Tribolium castaneum: one gene and its partner. The protein of the gene in region 2 purifies or fractionates together with the protein of the main gene of each other region. This does not show direct contact. Links are inferred from orthologs where the notes say so. Each region holds a gene or a part of one and is shown on either strand. Other genes may lie near its edges.

Region 1 (11,467 bases), on a different chromosome or scaffold from region 2:
CACTTTTGGATGGCGAAGATCAGGCCTAGGGCCACTAGCGACTTTTGCCCCCCTGACAACTGGTTCATTTCCTTCATCTCGGCGTCGGATTCCGTAAACGAGACCTTAATCCCGATCCCACTGAACTGGTCCGAGTTTGTGTCTTCCGGGCCCACATCCTTGCCCTCCTCATTATCGACTGTCTTCAGCACCAGCTTAGCCTTACCGGCAGGCACCAGTTTTTTGAAAACTTCCGAAAAGTACTTCGAGACTTGCTTGAAAGTGAACTGGATGGCCTCTAATTTGCGCTGTTCCAACATTGCGATCAGTTCTTTGATTTTTTCGCCACTAAAACATGTATAATTGGAAGTTAATTCAAACACCAAGTGGGTTTACCCGCGGTCTAGTTCCTCTTTACGTTTCTGCAACTTTTCCTTCTGATCGGAGAAACTCATAAACTGGTCCAGGGCCTTTTTGTTCACGTGACTGAATTTTTTCAGCTGGTTGTTGGTTTTTTCCAATTCTTTGAAAAGCTAAAATTTTGTTATTACGTGAATAAAATAGGCTTCACTTTGACAGAATTATTTATTACCGATCGTGACGACATTTTCACATAATGGGAGTACAAATCCTGGGCTGGGAGTGCCCCCAATTGGTTGATTTTTTCCACGCATTCTTGGATTTTTTGCTCGAGGAGGTTTTGCTTCGTTGCGTATTTTTCCAAATGTTTCGCGTCCTCGTCGATCTTGTCTTGGGCGTCCTTCTCCTTTTTCTTCCAATTCTCTAACTCGCCTTGTTCCGTTTTTAACTAGAACAGAAATTTTTATTTTATTTTATTTTTTTTCAATTTTTTGCTTACCCTTTTGGCCATTTCCTTGACTTTGCTCTCCATTGAGGTCAACTCCCTGTTAACCCTCTCAATCTTCCTATCAATCTCCTCCAGGTCGCTCTTCGAGTTCACCAACTGCCGTTTCCTATCCTCAAGCGAGATCTCCTGCAAGGCATGCAACACTTCATCCCGCCTCCGAATCAAATTATTCGTCAACAAATTCTCCAATTTATTTTTCTCAGCTTCGAGCTTCATCCTCGTACTGAACGCCTCCTTATTCTCCTTTTGCAACCGTTGAATGTCATCATTCAACGTATCAACCTCGGCCTGATCAGCAAACGACAACTGCGACAACAACTCTTGATGCAGCTCACTTTCGAGGCCCTCCTGAGTTGACTGCATGGCTTCCAGACTGGACTTGCATTGGGCGAGAGAGCGTTCTTTCGGCCCTCGAAATCGTTCAATATTCGATAACTCCTCCTTCATTAGCCTCAACTCGCCCTTGACTTTATCATAAATCCCTTTTGCTTTGCTATTTTTCGTCTCGGTTTTCTGCATTTCGGAGACAATGCTGTTAATTGAAGCTTCGGTTTTGGTCAATTCCTCGCGCAATGATTTTAATTCGTTCTCACATTGCGAGATTTGTTGGATTGTTTCGCTGCGATTTTTCTGCATTTCGAGACGGGAACGATTCGAGTTGAAATAACCACCGGTTAGGGAGCCTTTGGATGAGACTTGATCACCTTCCAACGTCACACAATCAAGGCCTGTGGTCCTGGCCAGTTTTGTGGCCACATCCAGGTTACGACAAATCAATGTTTTGCCGAATAAGTAACGCATCGCTTTGTCGTATTTCGGGTCGTAGTGTAACTTCGAAACCATCGCAATGGCGTCCTGAAAATTATTAGGAAAAATATTAATTTCGATTTTTTTTTCAAACAGGTTTAGAGAAAAACGAATGAAATTCTCGGGTCCATTTTTTGAGAGAATAATTTTGGTCAAAACGGCGTCTCGCTATCGTCTTTTGTTTTCGACTTATAAACAAAAGTTGACATTTTAGCGAAATCTTAAAAAAATCGTATCTTCTTTATTATAAAAGATACACATTTGAAACAAAGACATTATACAGGCACTTTTTTACAGAGAATTTAATAATGTTTTCAGAGATTTTTTTTAATCATTCGTTTAGCAGTAATAACACAAAGTTGAATTTTGTTAAATGATAATCATAGTTGGCTATGACATTTTCGAAAAGCTTATTTTTTTCTGAACTCAAAACAATATAAATATATTTTGATATTTTTATATTTTTTTGATAAAAAATATATTCAAATATTTGAAAATAGTTGGCCATGGAAAAATTATTTCACATAAAAGGTGTGAATAATCTAGAAATTTTGTGAACGGTTATTAAAGTAAAAAATGTGAAATTATAAAAATAAGCTAAAGTTATTTTTAATTGAACAAATATACGAGCGTCGCAGATTTTAATTACATAAAAAATGTGCAGAAAATTGTAAATGATGTCTCACTACCACTTGATGCCACTTTTTTATGATTTAGTGCAATGGAGGTGACGTTGAAAATGTTGTGTATTTTTTTACCGCAGATGGAATTTGATTTTGGTGTTTGGATTGACATTTTTTTGTAAAATAAAATTTTATTGATACGCAATCATACAATTAATAAGATTTTTCTTCTTCCGACATTTCATGTTTAAAATTGGAAAATAGAATGACAACGTAAGCTTGCCATTTTAAATATAAAAACAAATAATTTTTATTAATTGCAAAAATTTGATCTAATAAAAATTTATTATGCTGTTTTTGAATTAATTAGGGTTTAAAAAATCATTAAATTATAAATATTTGTTGGGTAATACAATTTTCATAGTGTTAATTAAAAATCCAAAATTTTTTCATGGCCTACTATAAAAAAAGCGAAATATTTTGTTTTTTCTTAAATATTTAAATTTAATGTATTACACAAATAGACATATCAAATCAGAAAAAAATAAGCTTTTCGAAAATGTCACAGCCAACTATGATTCCCATTTAAAAAAATACAACTTTGTTATTACAGTTAAACGAATGGTTGAAAAAAATCGCTGATAACATTATTAAATTCTCTGAAAAAAAGTGCCTTTATAATGTCTTTATTTCAAATGTGTCTCTTTTATAATAAGAAAGATATGATTTTTTAACATGTGCCTCACCCTATACTTACCGAGTCATTTGGATAGTTGATATCTCTAACATTGAGTCGATTCAGAGGCATGAAAGTGACCTCTCCTGGCAGTTTTTGTCGATTCATTTCCTTCAAAATTTGCGTCCCAATTTTATCCGAATCGATAACATGGTGAAAAAGCCGATTTCCAGCCGTGACTTCAACCGCTGTATAAATACTTTTTTCACAATCGAAATTTTCAATAACAAGACCATAATACGATTTGACAATTTCGGCTTCGCGCCCTCCACGACTCACAAACGTGTCCAAAACTTTCCGGACACTGTCTCGTCCATTGAGGATTGGTTTACCGGCCATTGAACGCAATTGCTGGTCGGCTTTGGCTAAATCTTCCTTAAGAGAGGAGAGGTTTTGTTGGACGTTGTTTTCTTTACGCCACAATTCGCTGCAATTTTTTTATTACTAAAGGAGAAAAACTAAACGAAAAAAAAATTACTTTCTAGTAGCTTGAAACTGGTCTTTGTTTTTCTTGAGTTCGTAGCATTGTTTGTTATGTTCGTCGATACAGTTTTTCTGACGTTCCAATTCTTGCGATTGTTCTTCGATTTTTTTCGTCAGTTCGATTGTTTTAGCAGCGTCGCGTTTCAAGTCGGCCTCGAGTTTGTCACGATGCTCACGCTTATCTTTTAATTGCTTATTCAAAGATCTGAAAAAAAAAACACGTCCACTAGTTGGTTTCCTATTGTAGAAAAAAATACCTACTTCAACTCATTTTGAATCCACCTATCTCTATCATCCTTGGACGTAAACTGACTCCCTCGTCCTTGTTTAGCGTACAATTCCTTGCGTTTTTGCTCCTTTAGAGCCAAATTTCTCGTACACTCTTCTTCCCGCTTCTTCATTGCTTCATACTGGGGCTTGACCTTCTCCAATTCTGCTTCTTTTTCTTTAATAGATTGTGTTAAACGCGCCAGTTCATTCTCAGCCCTTTCCTTCGATTTATTATCTCCTTGCACTTCCTCAGACAAGTCCTTAATAGTCAAATCCAGTTTGGCCTTTTCCTTGATCAAATGTTGCTGATCATTGGTCAAAATATCACGTTCTTCCTTCAAACTCGTCAGTTCTTTTTTCGTCTCTTTTGTCTTCTTTGTGAGGGTTTTAATATTATCTTGTGCCTTCTTCAAATTCACCGCCAACTTCTCCTGCTCGTTCCCCGACTCGTTTCTTTGTTTTTCAAGCTGTAAACATCCGAAAATCACTTACAAACCTGACCAACAAAAAATAATTACATCAGCAAGCTTCCTCTTATTTTCATTCAACTCCACTTCGTGTATAATGTACTCAAGGGCCCGCCGAATTTTATCGTAGTGTTGGTATTGCTTCAGCTCCTCCTTCTCCTCCTCAAGCGTACTCAAACGTTCTTCAATCGTCCTCAAAAACTCCTCAATCTTCTCAACCTTGCCCTCCGTCTCCCTCAAAATCGCCATTGATTCGTCCCTCCTTTCGTCATAAACGCGCGTTCCTGCAACTTCACGCAACAATTTCAACCGGTGGGCGTCAGGCGCTGTCGCCATCTGATTGATTTTCCCCTGTTTGACGATATAGTACGGGTTAGAGTTGGAAAAACCGGCCGATTCTAACAAATTCATGACTTCACTCCGTGGCACCACTTTCTTATTCAAGAAATACTGGTCTTTCTTCGCCCCAATTACACGCCGCAAGTAGATCTCCTCATGCTCGAGCTACCACACAAATTAAACCCCATTTCTGTATTTTTTACCAACACTTACGGGAACACGAGCGTCCGAATTATCGAAAATAATCTCAACGTAGGCCGAGACGACTCTCGGACCCGTGCCTTCGTGCAGAAGCGCCTGGCGCTGCTCGGGCCGCAAGTGCGAAAACTCGTCACTTAGAACGAACTGGATTGCTGGAAATTTGGGGGGTTATTTGGGAAAATTCTAGTGGTAATTACCGTAGAAGAAGTTGCTTTTGCCTGAACCGTTACGCCCCACGACCACATTGTGGCGCTTGTCGAACGGCTCGACCACAGTCTGGTCTCTGTAGCTTTTGAAGCCCTGGATAATAACCTACAACCGGAGGGACGCCGAGTGAAATTTGCGACAGAAAAAACGCCCATTACCTGTTTTATGTGCATTTTGCGACCCTATCACTAGACACGCACTAGAATAAGCACTTTTTCGCAAATTATACGCAAAAATCAAAATGTAAACATTTTTAGTTTATGCCTCCATTTTGTGACAGTCATAGAATATAGTAGTTATAGAAAATCAAGTAACACGTAATTCACTGGTCGTCAAAATTTCGATAATAGCGCCATATCTTGGTAGTATGAGGAACTAAAATTGGCGGCAAATTTAAATATTTTATTATTTATACAATTAATTTAATTTTTTTATTTTTTTACAATTTAAACACACATAACCGATTTTATTGAAAATCGGTTAAATGTGTTTAATTGCAAAATTTTGTTAGTATTATAAATATAAAAATAATAAATACAATGAATGAAAATAATTTATTAATGAATTAACGTTTCACAGATTATGAAAACATCAATTATAAGAAATAAATGTCGTGTTTGGCTTCCACATATTAATTTGGCGACTTCCTCACCATCAAACACCAGTTATTTAACATTATTTTGAAACTTGGAAAAAAATTAAAGAACTAAATAAGTAAATACGGACTCTAATAAGGTACCATTGGAGTTTTAGACATGTGCCCAATTCAATTTTTACAGAAAAGTAGTGCTTTTAATAGTTTGTGCAAACATTTCTTGTATGTTTTCGTGTTGGTTGTAGACTCACATAGATGACTTTACAACAAATTTACTTATATGAACTTATTATGAGTAAGAGGTTTTTCTGATTTTAATGTAAGGACTCCACTTTGGTGGATTCACCAGTTTTGAAACTTAACGGTAAAAAGGAGGGAGTTCAAGATACGTTTTTGTGGCTTTTGTACAAATGAATGAATGAACGCGTGTATTAAATAAAAGACACTATGTGCAAGGTACAAGTCTTAAACGGTGTCCATCATAGATGTCCACTCAAAAAATGAAATTTGGTTTAAATTCTCGAAGTTATTTTTGGTGTCCACGTCGATTTGTTTCTGGATAGCTCTCACAAGTAAAGAGATGCACTGTTTCCAGAATCATGTGTACCAGCCAGCCAGAAGTTGTTTAATAAACGTTGTAGGTTGCCTTTTAAGTGTATACTAGGTCCACACCAGAGCTGGAAATATGTATTACATAGTATTTTTGGTGGCAAAAAAATCCCGACTTACCAAATTTTAGCCTTCGAAAGTTCAAAACTTAAATGTTTTTGAGATTACTTTAGGAGTACATAACACCAACAAACGAATTCAAATAAGAATAAAAAGAGAAAACCACGAACACAACACGTAGCAGAATAATTCAAATTGGAAACTGAAACCTTTAAAATTGAAACAACTTTTTGACACCGTTGAATGTAGTGTGACATTGCGCGCCAAAGGTTGCTTAATATTTTGGATTTTTGGATAAATTCGTGGATTTAATTTGAAATCACACTACCAAAAGATGGCATAAGTAGTTTCTATTAACGACCGTGCCACGTACCCCAAATTTACAGAAATCTGCATAGATAACGCACGTGGCGCCGCATGTTGATAGTATGATTTAATAAACCGTTTCTCCTATGCCGCTTGACTAACCCTGGTGACAGTTGACGATTGTGGTAACTTGATGAATTGATAATTTAGCGAATTATCGCATTTAAAAAAAACACTTTGAAGCCCAGATTATTGATTTGAGTCCTTGCAATCGTAAAACAGTGACAAAGTTGTAATTAAAGGCGTCGTAATTTAATAATTGGGGCCGCAAGGCCGGGCGTTTGGGCGTAGCTTTAGCCACAACTTGTCGACGTCAGTGGCATGTAATGTTGGTTGTCTAGTTGTGTTGGTAAATCGAAGTGTTAAATATGTTTAATTAGAATATTATTACAAATTCTATTGATCGGGAACAATTTAAACAGTTTAAAATGTGATTTTGGTCATAATTCTAAACTTACAATGAGTGATAAGTCTCCGGAGACCTCACTCATGTCAGAAGGTGGCCCCAATGTGGGCCCTCAAGGGGGTCCAAATGAAGCTAAAGACCCACCGGACGCTGTTGACATCAACGAGAATCAATCAATCGAAATCACAAACAAGGTATTAGAACAGGCTGAAGAAATCGCACAGCTGACCCAGAAATTGTCTCTCGTGGAGTCCAAACTAGACCTAGTAATTTTTCACAATTTTGGCGTTAATTGTTAGTAAAATTGGTGTTTTAAGGCAAGCAAGCAGAAAGAATTGGCCCAGAAGGAGAAGGAAGCAATGGTGATCAAGTATGCCGTTAGTGAGAAGAACTTGCTTGATATGAAGCACCAGAAGGAGCAAATCGAGAAAAAATACAAAGAGCAAGTCAACGAGAATGAAATAATCCAGCACAAGGTCCAAGTGATGGGCTCAGAGAAGTCCCGAATTTGCCAAATGCTCGATAACAAGTGTTACGAGTTCAGGGGCTGCCAACAGGAGCTGGAGCAAGCCAAGGCCGACTTGAGCGCCCTGGAGACGAAGCTCAAGTGGTCCCAAAACAGCCTCAAGACGGAGGTCCAGCTCCACAAAGTCAGTACAGTACCCGGACTTTTTAAAGTAGCTGTTTTATTTAATTACAGGAAACCCAGAGCCGTCTTGACGAAATGACAAAAAAATGCCAGGACGCCTCCGATCAGATAGAACAGGCGAAAAAAGACGCGCAAGAATCGATCAAATCGTTTCACAGCTCCCAGGACAACCGAGCTCACGTCCTTGACCAACAACTGAAGGAGCTCCAAGCTGCTCTGATCCTCCTCAAGCACGAGAAAGAAGACAAGGAGCAACAAATCAAATCCCTCCACTCCCAGCTGGAGAAGCTCCAAACGAAGCAGAAAGACATGCTGCAGGAGAACAACGCTCTCTCCCTCAAAGTGCAGCACTTGGAGCGCGATCGCCTGGAAAGCGAGCAGAAACTGAGCGATTTCAAGGCCTGTGCCGACCAGCAGCGCCAAGACTGCGCCGACTTACAAGCAAAAACGGCCCTCTTAGACCAATTAAAACTACAGTTAAAGAACGAACAAGAGCAGAATAAAGCTTGTAACGAGCAAATCAGTCTTTTAAAGCAGCGCAACGCCGAGCTCGAGGCCGATATCCTGGCTTGTAGAGAGCGCGAGGCTGAACTGTTGCTCTTCACGCAACAGTTGACCGAGAAGAATGTGCGATTACAGTCGGAGTTTACGGCGCTGGAGACCAAAGTCCAGCAGTTGAGTTGCGAGCAAACGATACTCAAGCGCTCGCTGAAGGAGCAAGAGACGAAAAATGCGGTGGTTTCGGCGCAAATGACCGCAGAAAGGGCCAAATTGAGTGCGGAAGTGGAGGGGTTGAGGGTGGAGTTGGACGAGAGTCGGGGTTTGTGCGAGAGGTTGAAGCAGGAGGTGGGGGATCATAAGGGCGAAAATAAGTTGCTGAAGCGGAAGTGCGAGTTGTCGCTGAAGGAGGTGCAGAAGGAGTTGCAACAGTGTCGGAAAAGGCTGGAACAGTACGAGGTGGAGAACCAGAGTAGTAGTAGCTCGAATTCGTCGCTTAGTGTGGGGTCGCCGGCCAACGAGCAAGTTAAGGTTGTTTGCGTTGGGAGAAATTTTTTTTGAATATTTCCGCAATCTTCTGCTTAAAATAATGTTAACTTTTTTTATTTTTTTTTTGTCATTTACGGCAAAATTATTCTAAAAAGTGGAACTATTTTGATTCATATCTATGCAAAATGATCCGGGGAATCGATTGGCATCAAGAAAATTGCCAAATTCCCAATAGTTTTTTAGTTATGAATTTTTTAAAATTTTACCAAATTTTGCATTTGTCTCCAATTTGCTCGAAAACTATTAGTCGGAGAAGAATAGTTTTTTTTTAAAACAATAGATAATTTAAAGAGCTTTCCAACGATAATACACTTCATGGGGTTATCTCTGATAGTTCGGGAGCTATTGCTCGAGAAATGTCCGGGTACCGAAAATCGACAAAATTTGCGACGAAAATTAAAAAAATCAAACATCAAAAAATTGAATATATGGACTTTTTGTGGACTAAAAACAACTTTTGTGGGTTGTTTAAGACATGTAGAAGTCCATAAAAATTTACTGGAGTGAGTTTAAAAAAAAATTTTTTTCACCTCTTTGAAGGTAAGTGTTATTACTCAGGAAATTTTAGCAAAAAAATTGAAAATTTTAAATCTCGTGAAAAGTTAGTATAATACAGAAAATGAGCCGCTGAGTTCAATGGAACAAACCGCATTGCTCTACGACTTTTAGTTTTCGAGTTATGAATTTTTTTGTTGAATAAAACTGTTCACCATAAATAATGGCTACGCTAAATTTAGGCAAAAAATTATAAATTTTTTATTCTTGTGAAAAATTGATATATTTTGTAAAATGAGCCGTAGAATTCAACCGAACAAACCTCATTGCTCTACGACTTTTAGTTTTTTTTTTATGAATTTTTTAAGTGAAAAACTTTGATCGCCTCTGTAGCGGGAACCGTTGCCCGGAGCGGCTCCGGGTTTAGACCAAAAAATAGCTAAAATTAAGCGCTATCAGATGTTTTTTGTTCGTTGCTCTAAGTCTTACAGTTTCCGAGAAAAACGCAAAAAAAGGTTTCCATTTTCACTTTTTTTCAATTTTCAACCGCCAATTACGGCCAAACTATTAAAGATATCGCGAAACGGAAAAATGGAGGATAACCGGAATAAAAAACTCTACAAAATGGCATAGGACTGAAGGCGATATCTCGCAAAAAATTTTTCAATTTTCAAACGCCGATTACGGCCAAACTAACAGAGCTAGGAGAAAACGCTTTTTTAGATCGGAAAGAGCACATCAAAATCTATAAGATAGAGTCGGTTTTATTTGATTTTGAGACATTTTAAAAATTGACCGATTTCTAAGGGGGGGTGTTAACTTTTTTTTAATTTTTTTTATTTTCTCATTTACGGCTAAACTATTATAAAAAGTGGAACTATTTTGATCCATGCCTATGCAAAATGATCCGGGGAATCGATTGGCATCAAGAAAATTGCCAAATTCTCGATAGTTTTTTAGTTATGAATTTTTTAAAATTTTACCAAATTTTGCATTTGTCTCCAATTTGCTCGAAAACTATTAGTCGGAGAACAATAATTTTTTTTGAAAAAAATAGATAATTTAAAGAGCTTTCCAACGATAATACACTTCATGGGTTTATCTCGGATAGTTCCGGAGCTATTGCTCGAGAAATGTTCCGGGTACCCAAAACCGACAAAAACTGCGACGAAAATTGAAAAAATCAAACACCAAAAAATCGAACATATGGACTTTTTGTGGACTTTTAACAACTTTTATGGGTTGTTAAGACATGGAGAAGTCCATAAAAATTTACTGGAGTGAGTTTAAAAAAAATTTTTTTTCACCTCTTTGAAGGTAAGTGTAACTTTAAGCAAAAAAATTGAAAATTTTAAATCTCATGAAAAGTTGGTATAATACAGAAAATGAGCCGCGGAATTCAATGGAGCAAACCGCATTGCTCTACGACTTTTAGTTTTCGAATTATGAATTTTTGAATGAATAAAATTTGGACTTTTTTTAAAGGAAATTTAATTTTTTACAATTTTCCTCTGGACATTTTTCTTGTATCTGTAACCGTATTCGCAGCGTTTTGAAAAATATGGGACAGAGTGCAAATTGGTAAAACTATTTTTTAAAATCTAGTTTAAGATATAATTTTTGCACTATTTTTTTTATTTTTAAGTATTTAGTTTCTCGTTTTTTGGTAACAGTTGTCTCCTCAGGTTATCCAACTTGACCCCGGCCTGGACCGGCAAACCCTCATCGAGCACATAGTCAAACTGCAACGAATCAGTGCGCGAAAATCGGAAAAGCTCGATTTTTTGGAAGAACACGTCAACACTCTAGTTTTAGAATTGCAAAAAAAATCGCGTCTTTTACAAAGTTACATTCTAAGAGACCAGTCAGGGACTCTAACTTCTAACACTATGGATAACAATAAAGTAAGTTTTTGTTTATTTTTTTCCTAATTGTAGCTACAGTTAAATTCGGTGTTATTTTAATCGATTTTTTCTCGTTTCAGTCTTCGAAATTTTGGTAAGTTTAGAGTGTATTAGGGCGAATTTGTGGTAGATTTTTGTGTCATGTTATGTTGATTTTTTTCTCTTTCTAGGCGAACATCGCCAAATTGAACGGTGTTATGGCATCGGTGTATAGCTCGCGTGTAGCTGATGATAAACTCACGCTGGAGTTGTCGCTCGACATCAATCGGAAGCTACAAGCTGTACTCGAGGATGCCTTGCTTAAAAATATTACTTTGAAGGTGGGTTTGCAGTTGGCGATTTTTCAGGAATAGCAG
Region 2 (11,142 bases):
CCCGATTCGGGCACAGACCCCACAATGTCCGCTTCAACCGGATGTTCAATGGCCAATTGCCTGCCACAGTGCGACCGCACAGTGTACACCTCTTGCCCCTCAAAAATACTATTGGGCCTCGCGAAATAAACATATTCGAAAATGCAAAAAGCTAGTTGTTTGTTAGCCGGTCGAGCTACTATATCAACCGTTCGCACACCCTGGTGTGTCATTTCGACGATTTCCCCCGGTAAAACCTCCCGAACGTATCTGGTGATGGTCAAAAAGGCGCACGATTCGGACGAAACGAGCCATCCCTCAGGCTGCACGCTTTCGTCATTCCCTGTTTAATTATAAAAGTTTAAGGACTTTTCACAGAATAGTTATTACTGTCGCAATGAGGGGGCAAAATTTTGCCGAGACACAAGGGCCGGTTGCCGTACGGGTCCCTAACAGCGTAAATGCGGTCCTTGAGCATCAGGACTAGCGAGTAGCTCAAGGGGGCCATTTGCATGAAATGACGGATCCTTGCGGGCCAATCGGGACCATTGACTTCGCCTTCTGGCGGTATTAAGCACAGAGCTTGTGTTATAATTTCGCTGTCGGAGTGCGTAGAAAGCCCCACACCCCGGTCTAGAACCTTTTTCCTCAAACTAGAGCAGTTTACTAGCTCGCCATTGTGCGCCGTGGCCAAGGAACCGTGCATGGAGTGCACCACAAACGGTTGGCAATTGATAGCAGCCGAAGCGGCCCTAGTGGCATATCTCGTGTGCCCAATCCCTAGTGAGCCTTTCAGTTTGCTGATATTGTCGTTATTGAAGACGTTCTTGACCAAGCCCATGCCTTTGTGGATGTGAAAATCTTCGCTTCCTTCGCTTGTTGCGACACCGCATGACTCTTGACCCCTATTAAATAATTAATCATTCGTTTGATAACCCCAGCGACTTTACCGATGCTGGAGGGCTTCCAAACCGATACAGATTATCTGAGCGATTTCAGAGTTCGTGTTGGGCCAGTCACTTGTGCCGATAGCCCCAAAAACGCCGCATTCGTGCGTCAAACCGGAAGTAAAGTCGTCCCGAGGCGCATTTTTCAATGCCATTGCTGAACTTACAAATTCAAAAACTGCACACACGTGGTTTCAGGTTACAAATAACTGTAAAACACCTGTTGCACGTTTTGAGACCCATGAATGGGCGAGGGATGGGTGCTACGTAGGCAACATAAAAATCGTAGGGGAAAATTATTTGCATATCTTCACAATTTATTTCGCAGAGGCCAAGAGAAATAAATTATTATTCTGACTCATGTTTAAATAACATACAATCATTATTGATTAGATGGGACTCTTTAGGACAGGTAGGTACAAGGTAATCCAATTTTTTATAAGAAGGTATTTTTAATTTTTTTCTACGGTGTCTGTTCATCGCCCCGTGAAGTATTGTCTGTGCAGGTTTGAAAGAAACTCAATGAATAAAACTTTAAAAAGTATCAGTATTTATTATGTACATTATATTTAAACAATCCAAATAACATTATGGTAATTTTACAAGTAATCTAGTCATGAAATAAATAAGAAAATTCATATACAGTAGTAAGTATATACACTTGAACAAAACTATAAATTCGCCACGATAAAAATATAAAACGACATACTGAACCTTACGTTAAATTTCATAGGCTTAACACTAAATAATACTAACAACAGAATAAGGTAATAAAATAAAGAATGAAATGTTTCAGTTCAGTAATCTAGGTCAACTATCAATATGACTATTTTTTTGTATTTTTTCTACTTTTGTGATTTCAGTAAACTGTAAGTACTAGAGAAATGATGGTGCATTTTCATAGTCAATCACCACTTTGAAACGTTCTTACGATTTACCAAAACTGATTCTTTACAATATTTAAATGCTAGTGTGCCATTGTGTAACTAAGATCCATACACTCCGTATAACTCGGCTTCTCTTCAGGCGGAGGACTGTCACACTCTTCCAGAAACTTGATGACTTTTTCGGTGGCTTTAATTGCGCAAACGCTTGACGCTTCCGTCTGTAAAAAAAAACAATCATAAAACCAACATTTAGCAACAAAACAACACGTACCGAAGCAGTTAAATTCATAAAATTGAAGAACTTCTTCAACAGTTCGACCATATCGGCAAAATTGTTCCCACGGAGGAACTGTCGCACGTTATTTTGGTACTCCTTGTTGTCCATTATCAGGAATCCAATCAACATAACGATGTACGAAGCCAGGAAGGTGTACTCCATATGTGTGCCGGCTTTTTGTAGCACTAGAACCACACAGTTATAAAATCGCAACAAATTATTATAACTCACATTTAGCGACAGTTTCCTCGATAAATTCCTCATTTGACTTGTACGCAACGTTACCACTGTTCTCATCTTTTTCACCGTCCAATATCGCGTTGGTCCGTTTTTCAGCGATTTTCGCACACCCTTCCCAGTGATAAAATTGCGCGATCAAAGCCTCAACGGCACTTTCTTCTCCTACAAATTCACAGTCAGCAAACACCACCGAAGTGATTTTTGACTCACTTGAATAAATACTTTCCAGCTTTGACGGGGCTTTGGCTTCAATCAACAGCTTCTTGTTGTTGTCGTTATCTTGAATAAGGTTAATCAACAACATGAGGACCTGGAATAGTTGGTTATTTGAAGTTTGGGACACAATAAATTATTACCAAAACTCCCAATTCGAATTTCTTTTGTTCGGGGATATAGTGCGGCACTTGGAGAAGCAGATGCAGGCTTGTTTCAATAATGCCGTTCCTCGAACCTATTAAGGTACTTCCCATGGCTGTAAAAACAGTGTTAATTGGGTGAAATTTTAACTGTCAGAACCTACATTGTTTACTAAAGTGGTGTGTTAAATTAATTAATACTTTCAGAGTTACGAGAAGAGCTTCCCTTATTATAGTCCCAGTCGACTCCTTATCGGTTATATCAGTCACTGGATACAGAGGTATTTCACCATCACATAGTTTATACAAATTAACGAGCGTATCTAAAATTACTCCATCATTATATTTTAACAGGTACGTTTGATTCTCTTCATTATTATGAGTGACCTACAAGTGAAAAGTTATTTTGCGCCGATTCACATAAAAATCGTACATTTTCCAGCACACGTAAACACCTATCAACTTTCCGAAGTTTATCTAACAAGGCATCAGTCCACGAAACCACATAATCAGACACCTGTCTACAGCACTCGCATATCGTCTTCATAATATGCTCCAAGCCGCCCAACTCCCGCAGCTCCTCCTTGAACCACTCGCCTGCCCTTTTCGACGTGAGACTCAAAAGCGTCTCCATTGCCAATTGACCCACAGTTATATTATCGAGATTCAGATGCATGGCATGCCCTTGACTTTGTATCTCGGCACACAGCTCCCTAACTTTCTGTTTATTTTTCTCCAACTGGGCCGAGCTCAAGCCGCAGACGTCGAGCGCTTGCTGGTAGCTTACGTCCGATTCGAGAAGGTTTAACATGAGTTCGAGGCAATCGCGGTCTAGGTCCATGTTGAGCCGGTCCTGGCTCAGGACGAACATGACAGTCGCTGTACATAGACCAAGACTCTAAAACACGATTTGAGTAATTTGGAAATTTCAATTGGTGAAATAATACTTGGTCTTTGGTGGCGTCATGTAGTGCCTTGAAAAATTTAGCTACGGTTCCGTGAGCACGCACGTGCATCCGGAACGCAGGCACCATACATTTAGAAGCTAGAGTAATGGCCGATAAACAGCGAGTACTGATTGGATTATTATCCTGCAAGGCATCAAGGATGTACTCCACGTCGTCGTTGAATTCTTGAAATTCGCCGATTTCCTGGATCTGGTGGGCTTTCTTCACGTTGCGGACGACTGTGTAAAACTGAGAAAACATACAAATTAATCAGATAAACCAAACAGTAACAGTCCACAAAGCGAAATAACAAGAACGTTTATTTTTTTAGCAAATAACTTTTTATTGACAAATGCGTAATACCATCCAAATGAAGCTTTTTTAATGTTTTCTTTACAAAAAATGCGTCTCTCACTTTTGTTTATATTAACTAAAACCTGTTCTTATTTAATTACACTGGTTTACAAAATATTTCAAGTATATATGATTCGGTTGTAAAAAGAATTATTAATTACTTATGGTACTATGTAATATTCAATATTTAAATTAAAAAATTAGCAGAACGTCTGTACTCCAAGTATAGATAACTGTGAATTGTTTATCTTCTTCTTATTTTTTTTGATGCTTCAATTTATTTGATTCAATTACTTATTATTTTATTCAAAAAAATTCAGGAATACACAATTAATTCATGCTGTATTATGTTAATAACTAGTTTAAAAGTACAGTTTATGATTATATTACAGAAAAAAACTTTTAAAAAATTCATCAGTTCATCACCAAATTGAGGCCATTTAAATTATATTAAATTATGTAGTGTTCTATGGGCATAATAAAAAAAATAAATATATTTTATTTGTTAAATTTCGTATAAATATTATTTTAATTTTAATATAATGTTCAAAAATAATTTTTTGTAAACATGAGTTACTTTTTAATGCTTGTATTTTTTTGTCTTCATACAACTCACCCCTTTGTCACTCTTGGTGCACTTGATACTGGTCACACTCTCGTCCTCGCCGTCGCTGTTGCCCCCAACCGTGACCCTCGTCAAAGGATCATCATTAAAACTGAACTCGTCATACACTGAACCACCCGTATTATTGCTACTAGGATTTTCGTTCGATTTTTGCGTGGCGTCTTTATCATCACTCCACTTGTGTCTGTACAACGCGCGCCGTTTTTTCGTCACGTCCGTAACTAAAGGTCTACTTTTAAAAATACTTCCTTTCTTCTTTGAGATAACTAATTTAACGGGAGGGCTAGTTTCGGGGGCGCCTTCTTCCGCACTTTTCTCCTTCTGCTCTTCCACCGGCAGTGGGAGCGGTTCCGAATCCTCGGTTAGCTGCGTTTTGATTTCTGAGTCTGGGGTGGTGCTGTTGCTGTCCTCGTCGGTGTCCCATTCCTCTTCTATTGAACCCTTGGTCACTGGTTCTTCCCCCGATTTGGTTTCTTCAACCGGTTGGCTTTTTTCTTCGATGGTTTCACTCGGTTTAGTTTCGATTTGTTCGGTTTTGTCGGTTTCTTCCGGCTCTTTTTCGGCACTAATTTCGCTATCTACGTAATCAATTCCTGAATCTTCGGTGCTGTTCTTCTCTTCGGGGAACAGCTGCGAAGGCGAGTTTGGTTTAAGCAAGTTATCGTACATGGCTTTCCGCTCCATTTCGTATCTTTCAGCTGGGATGTATTGCGGGGACAGGTCTATGTCCTGTTTGGGCGAAGTGAAGAGGGAGAATTCGGTCGGAGTGTCGGCCGTTGCCGGACTGCTGCTGGGGTCCTGTTGCATGCTTCTTCTCGCTGACCTGGTGATGCGACAATTTGGTGATCTTTGTGCTGTGTCCCTGAGAGCCCTTGGAGAGGTGGCGTTTGAAGTCGATGGGGTGCTGGATGGTGTGGGCGTGCTTTCAGATTCGTCCGAATCGTTCACTAACTGGGATTTTCCTTTACATATCCTTAAAACTATTGGAGGTTTTGTTTCGTTTCGTTTAGAATTATTTACATTTGAACTTAGTACAGTCTTTTCAGGCGAGTTGCTCTTTGACGAAAAAAATTTACGACCAACACTTTTGGATTTCTCCGTCGGTTCGTTTACTAATTTCAGCTTCTTTGTTACGTTGCCGTATGTCATGTCGGCCTTGTAGGACGAAGACAGGTCAGGGGGTTCCGTGTTGCGACTCTTGAAGAACTTCTTCGGCTTCGGCACGGACTCTCCTTCAGATGAGGCGTTTTTTTCGTTTTCTGAACGAGACAAACCTGGATTATAACAACTACAGTGAATGGGGGCTTTGAGAGCTTAAACTACTGGCTCTTAAAAAAACCTAACTAAATCAACTCAATTCCATAAGTATTAATGACCACAAAAACAGAACTGTTGCGAAATTATAGTTGTATGTCGAAAATTGTCGAGGGGCAACTTACCATTGCTGGTACGTATGGAAGTGAAGGAGGTGATGCCCCACTTGCCCACAGTGGCTGCAGACCTTGCGGCAGATGGTTTGTTAGCATTTTCCTTAAATAAATTGTCGAAATGGAAACTTGCATGTGAACTTCCTCCACGGCGATACTTCCCATACCCTCTTGACATTTTTAAAAGTTGAACTCAAAAGTACCCCTCACTCAAACATTTCGGATTAAAACTTGAGCCCTGGCAAAATTCCTGGCAATACAAACGCGTCCCCAACGTCCTATCTAGTAATACTATCGAGTTCCATGATGTTATTTTGGCGATTTATCTGTACATTTTGGTGTATTTTGTTAAAATTGGTTCAACTTCGCCATTTTCATCAAATGATGAAGGTCCATTGATATTTATTAAGTGGGCTTGCAGGCATTGGTAAGGTGTCACAGATACCACATTATTTGTATGAGGGTTTCCACTTTTGGGAAAATGCGGGAAATAATTAGGTTTTTCTTGTCAATAGAATTTTCACGTTATAAACACGCCAGTAAATAACGGCTACGAAATCTACGTAAGGTTGCACAGTTGGCTGTTGCAACGACGCTCATCTGTCAAATTTATACAACCGCTTGCAACTGTCAAAAATTTTCGTCCAACTTTTCAAAAATAACCCAAAAAGATGTGTCCTATCGATAAGTTGATAATTGGTGTGTTAATTGTTAGTTTTTCGTCGATTTCTCATTGTCACAATAAATATTCGGCCGAAGCGAATGTGAAAAAATCGAACGATGATGTGGATTTTCGGCCGGTGTCGCTGAAGCACCTGGATAAGCCTTTCAGGATGGCTAAATTAAATCTCTTATGGTCCAAGGCTGTGGTGGTACGTATTTACAACCAGTAGCTGCTTTAATTAAATTAATATTTAGAGGCTCTCTGAACCTAAACTAAAATCCCTGTTTGGCGAATTGAAATTGCACGATAAAGAGGAAATCACTTGGAAGCATTTGAAAGCAGAGGGGAAGGACAAAGACGGGTTAAAAGAGGCCGAGTTGAGGAAGAAATTGCTGACAATAATGGGGTCCTATAATTTACTGGACCAAGCCGATGACGTGCAAGACCCGTCTAAATATAGAGCTCATAAACCTCTGAATGAGGCCTCCGACAAATACATAAACAAGAGTTTATTTAAAGATAAAAAGTTGAACAAACTGTGGGAAAAAGCCGAGACTGCTGGTTTTACGGCCGAGGAGTTGGCGGCTTTAAAAGAGGAATTTACCCACCACCAGGATAAAGTTGACCAATATTACGCTTTGTTGCATGATGTCAAAGGCAAGGAACAAGACGATAACACTGCCAGTATGTTCCTTCAATCGTTGTGCCACAAATTAATTTTTTAATTCTAGATTCGGTAGATGATGGTTTAGACAAATTCAACACCATTGAAAGTCTGGAAGAGCCACAGGCAAACAAGGATTATCTGGACAAAGTGAACCTCCTCAGGGAGCAGCACAAGGATATCCGGGACGGCTACGACCGCTTGCATTTGCTGGCGGCAAAGGGGCCCAACAGTAAAGAATTTGTGGAACCCAAAGTTCAAGGTTTATGGAAAATCGCAATTGAAAGTAACTTTAAACCTGACGAGTTGGAGTCGTTACGAGTGGAGCTCCTGCACTATGAAAATAGGTTACTTAAATTGAGGCATCTTCAGGCTGAAGCTGCCTTGAAAGAAGATCTGCACAAGAAAAAAATGGAAATGGCAGGGGGTAAAACAAACGGAATGCAGATGATGGAAGACACGATTAAAAAGCATGCAAGGAAGGTCGAGAAAATTCACTTGGATCTGGAAACTAGGATAATGCAGAGGCATATTGAATTGTGATTATCTAATTAGTGTTGTAAATAACAAAAATGCATTTGAATTGTTTATTTTGTAGTATTTTTTAACGAATATAATACGTATCACAAATAATTGGAAATGATTATTTTCCCTCAGTCTAACTTTCATACTCTTGTTGGAAATTTTGAATTATTTGTAGTGTCGTGGTTTTGATGTTTTGGGCAACAATTTTGCCGATTTCGGTTTGCTGATCTTCGCTGCAACTTGACATAATATTTGCGTACATATTATTCATCGCATCCTTGAGTGACGCAATAAATTTCGCATTTTTTTCCTCACAAATTTCTGGTCTTGCTTCCTTATTCTCATAACCTTGCAATTTTGTGTTCAAATCAGAAATGGTATTTTCGAGGCGTGAAATTTCAACTTTCTGAGCTAATTCTGACTGCTTGCAAGCCTCAATTTCTTCTATTTGTTTCTCCACGGTTTTAGAAAGGGCAGCGATTTCGTCCTTGTGTGCACAAATTTCTTTTTCCAATTTCTCTCGTTTGACGGTTTCTTGTTCCTCCAAAAGCCTCAATTCCAGTTTATTCTCTTCCTCACTCTTCAAATTACTTTCGTGTTCCTTCAATTGTAATTTGAGTTTTGCGTTTTCTTCCTGACTTGATCCCAATTCCCTCAACAAGTTTTCATTACGCAACTCCAACACTTTGAGTCTACTTTTCAAGCTATTTGAGTTGTCACTGGGCTTATCTGAGTCAACCAAACTAATAATCTGATTTAATTTGTCCGAAATTTGCGATAAATTTAACCTGACTTCACTATTTTGTGCACGGTTTTCAGCAAACAACAAATTTAAAGGGTCGTAAACCATCGGTTGACTCATAACAAAATTATTTGGAACGTTTTGAATTTGATGTGAAGTCTTGATAACAGCTGATGTTGAGCTGACTTGGTGGGTGGATACTGTACTGTCTGCACTTTCAACAGAATCATTATCTGTATCTAAGTCTTTATTCGGTAAAATAGACTGCCCCATTTTGGCAATTCTTGACAATATATCAGCCTTAGCTTTATTTTCCGGCGTTACAACTTCATCAGTTTTTTCAGTTTTGAGGTCTTGTTTTTCAACTACACGATTTACAACACACCCGAACTTTTCAATAACGTTCATAACAGCCATACGGTCATCATTATTGTTAAATTTGATCAACCAGTTCTCTTGAATATTGTCGTAAAACGAAGCAAAATCGTCCTTCTTTAAGTTCACTTCAAAACTAGACGATACTTTAGCCCTCATTATCACATTACGCTTTTCTTTATACAAAATAATTTCATAGGAATTTTGAACTGTTGATCCAATAACAGCAAGGCCATATTTGCCCAACGCTTGGTATTTACCCTCAACTCTAAAACTGTTCTATTAACTGAATCATAATTTTATGAAAACTTACAATTTCCAAACTTGGACGACTTTTGCACAAACAACACTGCTTTCTGCCTTTGGGGCCTCGTTTTTTACTTCGGAACTACCTCCAGCCTTTGGTTGTTTGGGGGCAGTGTATATGAGGCTAGCGGTTTCGGAATGTGGTGAATTATTGCCAAATAATGAAGCCAAATTTGAACTAAAGACAATTGTAAAAAACACCGATCACACAACGTGTTTTTTTATTTTACCTAGACGAAGGGGTAAAGTCGTAGTCGTCTAAGTTATCATCCATTTTTAACACATTTTATACATAGATTAAATTAAAAAAACCTGAACAATTACGAAATAAAAATAAAGGGTTAGTCTTAACCTGACTTTTTTAATTGTCAAACAATTTGACATTTTATTGTATGTCACACCCAGCACAAACGCGTATTGTGAGTTGACTATATTAGGAGTAATGTTTGTCAGAGTATTTTCCCGCCAAAAAAATATTTCCGAAAAAAATTATAAGTTTGAGAAATTATAAACTTTTTATTGCGCCGTTTTTTTACACTTATTACAAATATTTCGTGTTCTTTAATATAATATTTTTGTTAAAATTAAACACTGCCCCGTTTAATATTTATCTTGTTTAGTTTAATTAATTAATTAGTCAAATGATTCCAGAAAGTTTTTGTAAAAAGTATCTATATGTAAGTAAGTATCTCACTAAGGTCACTGAAAAAAGAATAAAAAATACAACAGTCATTGTCAAATTCTTTAATTGGTAATAAACAACTATTTTCTAAATCAGTGGTAAATTTACAAGTTAATTATCCTCAAATTGCACTTCTACGGCGACAGCGTAAAGTCTTGATGCCTGTACCTCAGCGAGTTTACGTCGAATCGGTTGCACATCGAGCCCGCTGAAATATTGGGTGAACAATAATTGAAAGGGTTTGTTGGGAGAAAAGGGCACGTTTGGCCCCCCATCGGCGAATTAAAATTATTGCCGTATAAGTCGGGCTGTCCATATTGTCCGTGAGAACACTTCCAAGGCATCACATATTGCAGATCGGAGGCAGCATGCGGAGGAATTACGTTTTGATGCGAAAATAAAGGTTTTTCCACTGAGTCAGTCCGAGGAGCCAGCGGTGTCATAGGCTTGTTGCAAGATAATTTGGTCGCTGGGGTCTGCTGCAGACTTAAACTTCTCTCATTTCTGCGAAATTTAGCTCGTCGGTTCTGGAACCAAACCTAAAAAAATAGTCAGCAAAAATTAATCGCATTTTTTTCGACAATTACTTGAACTCTGGCTTCGCTCAAGTTGACTTTTGCCGCCAAATCCTCTCGGACGAAGGCGTCCGGATAGTGCGTTTTTTCAAAAACTTTCTCCAAAGCTGCAAGCTGGACGGTGGTGAACGTGGTTCTGTTGCGTCTCGGTTTTTTCGTTTTTTCGTCGCTTCGCGAGTTTTCGGATGCGGATTCTGGAAGAAGGCTAAGAGTCAAGTCCAAAAAGTGCGAATAGTAATTAAAAATAGACGCGTTTTCAAGGTCTACGTAAGAACGGATGTTTGCATTTGCCAATCGCGATGAAATCGCAAAGCTCGGGACATGTGTGCATGCAGTGCGTTTAAGCAGAATCATTTTAAAAGCAATGCATCATGTAATTAGAAATGATAAACGTGGACCGGTGCGTCCGACCGGAATATCTCAAACGCTTGGATCAAAGGACAGATCAAAGACGTCTCTGTCTATCTCAATGAGCTGCTTGTTGCAACGTAATCTGATATTTCAGACTGTTTCAGTCGCAACATCTGAAAATTCCGAATTCGAAACTGATGCATCGATTATAGAAACGAT

The links.
Region 1: the proteins of wapl (region 2) and SMC3 purify together in Homo sapiens (affinity purification with mass spectrometry; 7 studies listed by BioGRID and IntAct, with this or other methods). This does not show direct contact. The link is inferred for Tribolium castaneum from reciprocal best matches to the Homo sapiens genes WAPL and SMC3.

What each region holds. Positions count from the first base shown.
Region 1 is NC_087400.1:606,315-617,781, forward strand, and holds the start of SMC3 (structural maintenance of chromosomes protein 3), read right to left. Parts: upstream 5,292-11,467; 5' UTR 5,154-5,291; coding exon 5,139-5,153; intron 5,086-5,138; coding exon 4,971-5,085; intron 4,926-4,970; coding exon 4,786-4,925; intron 4,738-4,785; coding exon 4,285-4,737; intron 4,234-4,284; coding exon 3,758-4,233; intron 3,702-3,757; coding exon 3,492-3,701; intron 3,441-3,491; coding exon 3,035-3,440; intron 1,703-3,034; coding exon 839-1,702; intron 788-838; coding exon 572-787; intron 513-571; coding exon 376-512; intron 328-375; coding exon 1-327. Other genes in the region: Golgin104 (coiled-coil domain-containing protein 186), read left to right, coding at 7,070-7,282, 7,334-7,666, 7,717-8,694, 10,893-11,111, 11,282-11,431. UniProt on the Homo sapiens protein: Central component of cohesin, a complex required for chromosome cohesion during the cell cycle. The cohesin complex may form a large proteinaceous ring within which sister chromatids can be trapped.
Region 2 is NC_087397.1:5,064,802-5,075,943, reverse strand, and holds wapl (protein wings apart-like), read right to left. Parts: upstream 6,218-11,142; coding exon 6,052-6,217; intron 5,887-6,051; coding exon 4,604-5,886; intron 3,883-4,603; coding exon 3,634-3,882; intron 3,585-3,633; coding exon 3,120-3,584; intron 3,074-3,119; coding exon 2,851-3,073; intron 2,803-2,850; coding exon 2,687-2,802; intron 2,641-2,686; coding exon 2,322-2,640; intron 2,276-2,321; coding exon 2,085-2,275; intron 2,032-2,084; coding exon 1,894-2,031; 3' UTR 1,454-1,893; downstream 1-1,453. Other genes in the region: amidophosphoribosyltransferase, read right to left, coding at 1-322, 370-884, 930-1,081; alpha-2-macroglobulin receptor-associated protein, read left to right, coding at 6,711-6,911, 6,958-7,387, 7,435-7,910; uncharacterized protein LOC103315102, read right to left, coding at 8,026-9,277, 9,323-9,493, 9,546-9,589; paired mesoderm homeobox protein 2, read right to left, coding at 10,132-10,536, 10,585-10,766. UniProt on the Homo sapiens protein: Regulator of sister chromatid cohesion in mitosis which negatively regulates cohesin association with chromatin. Involved in both sister chromatid cohesion during interphase and sister-chromatid resolution during early stages of mitosis.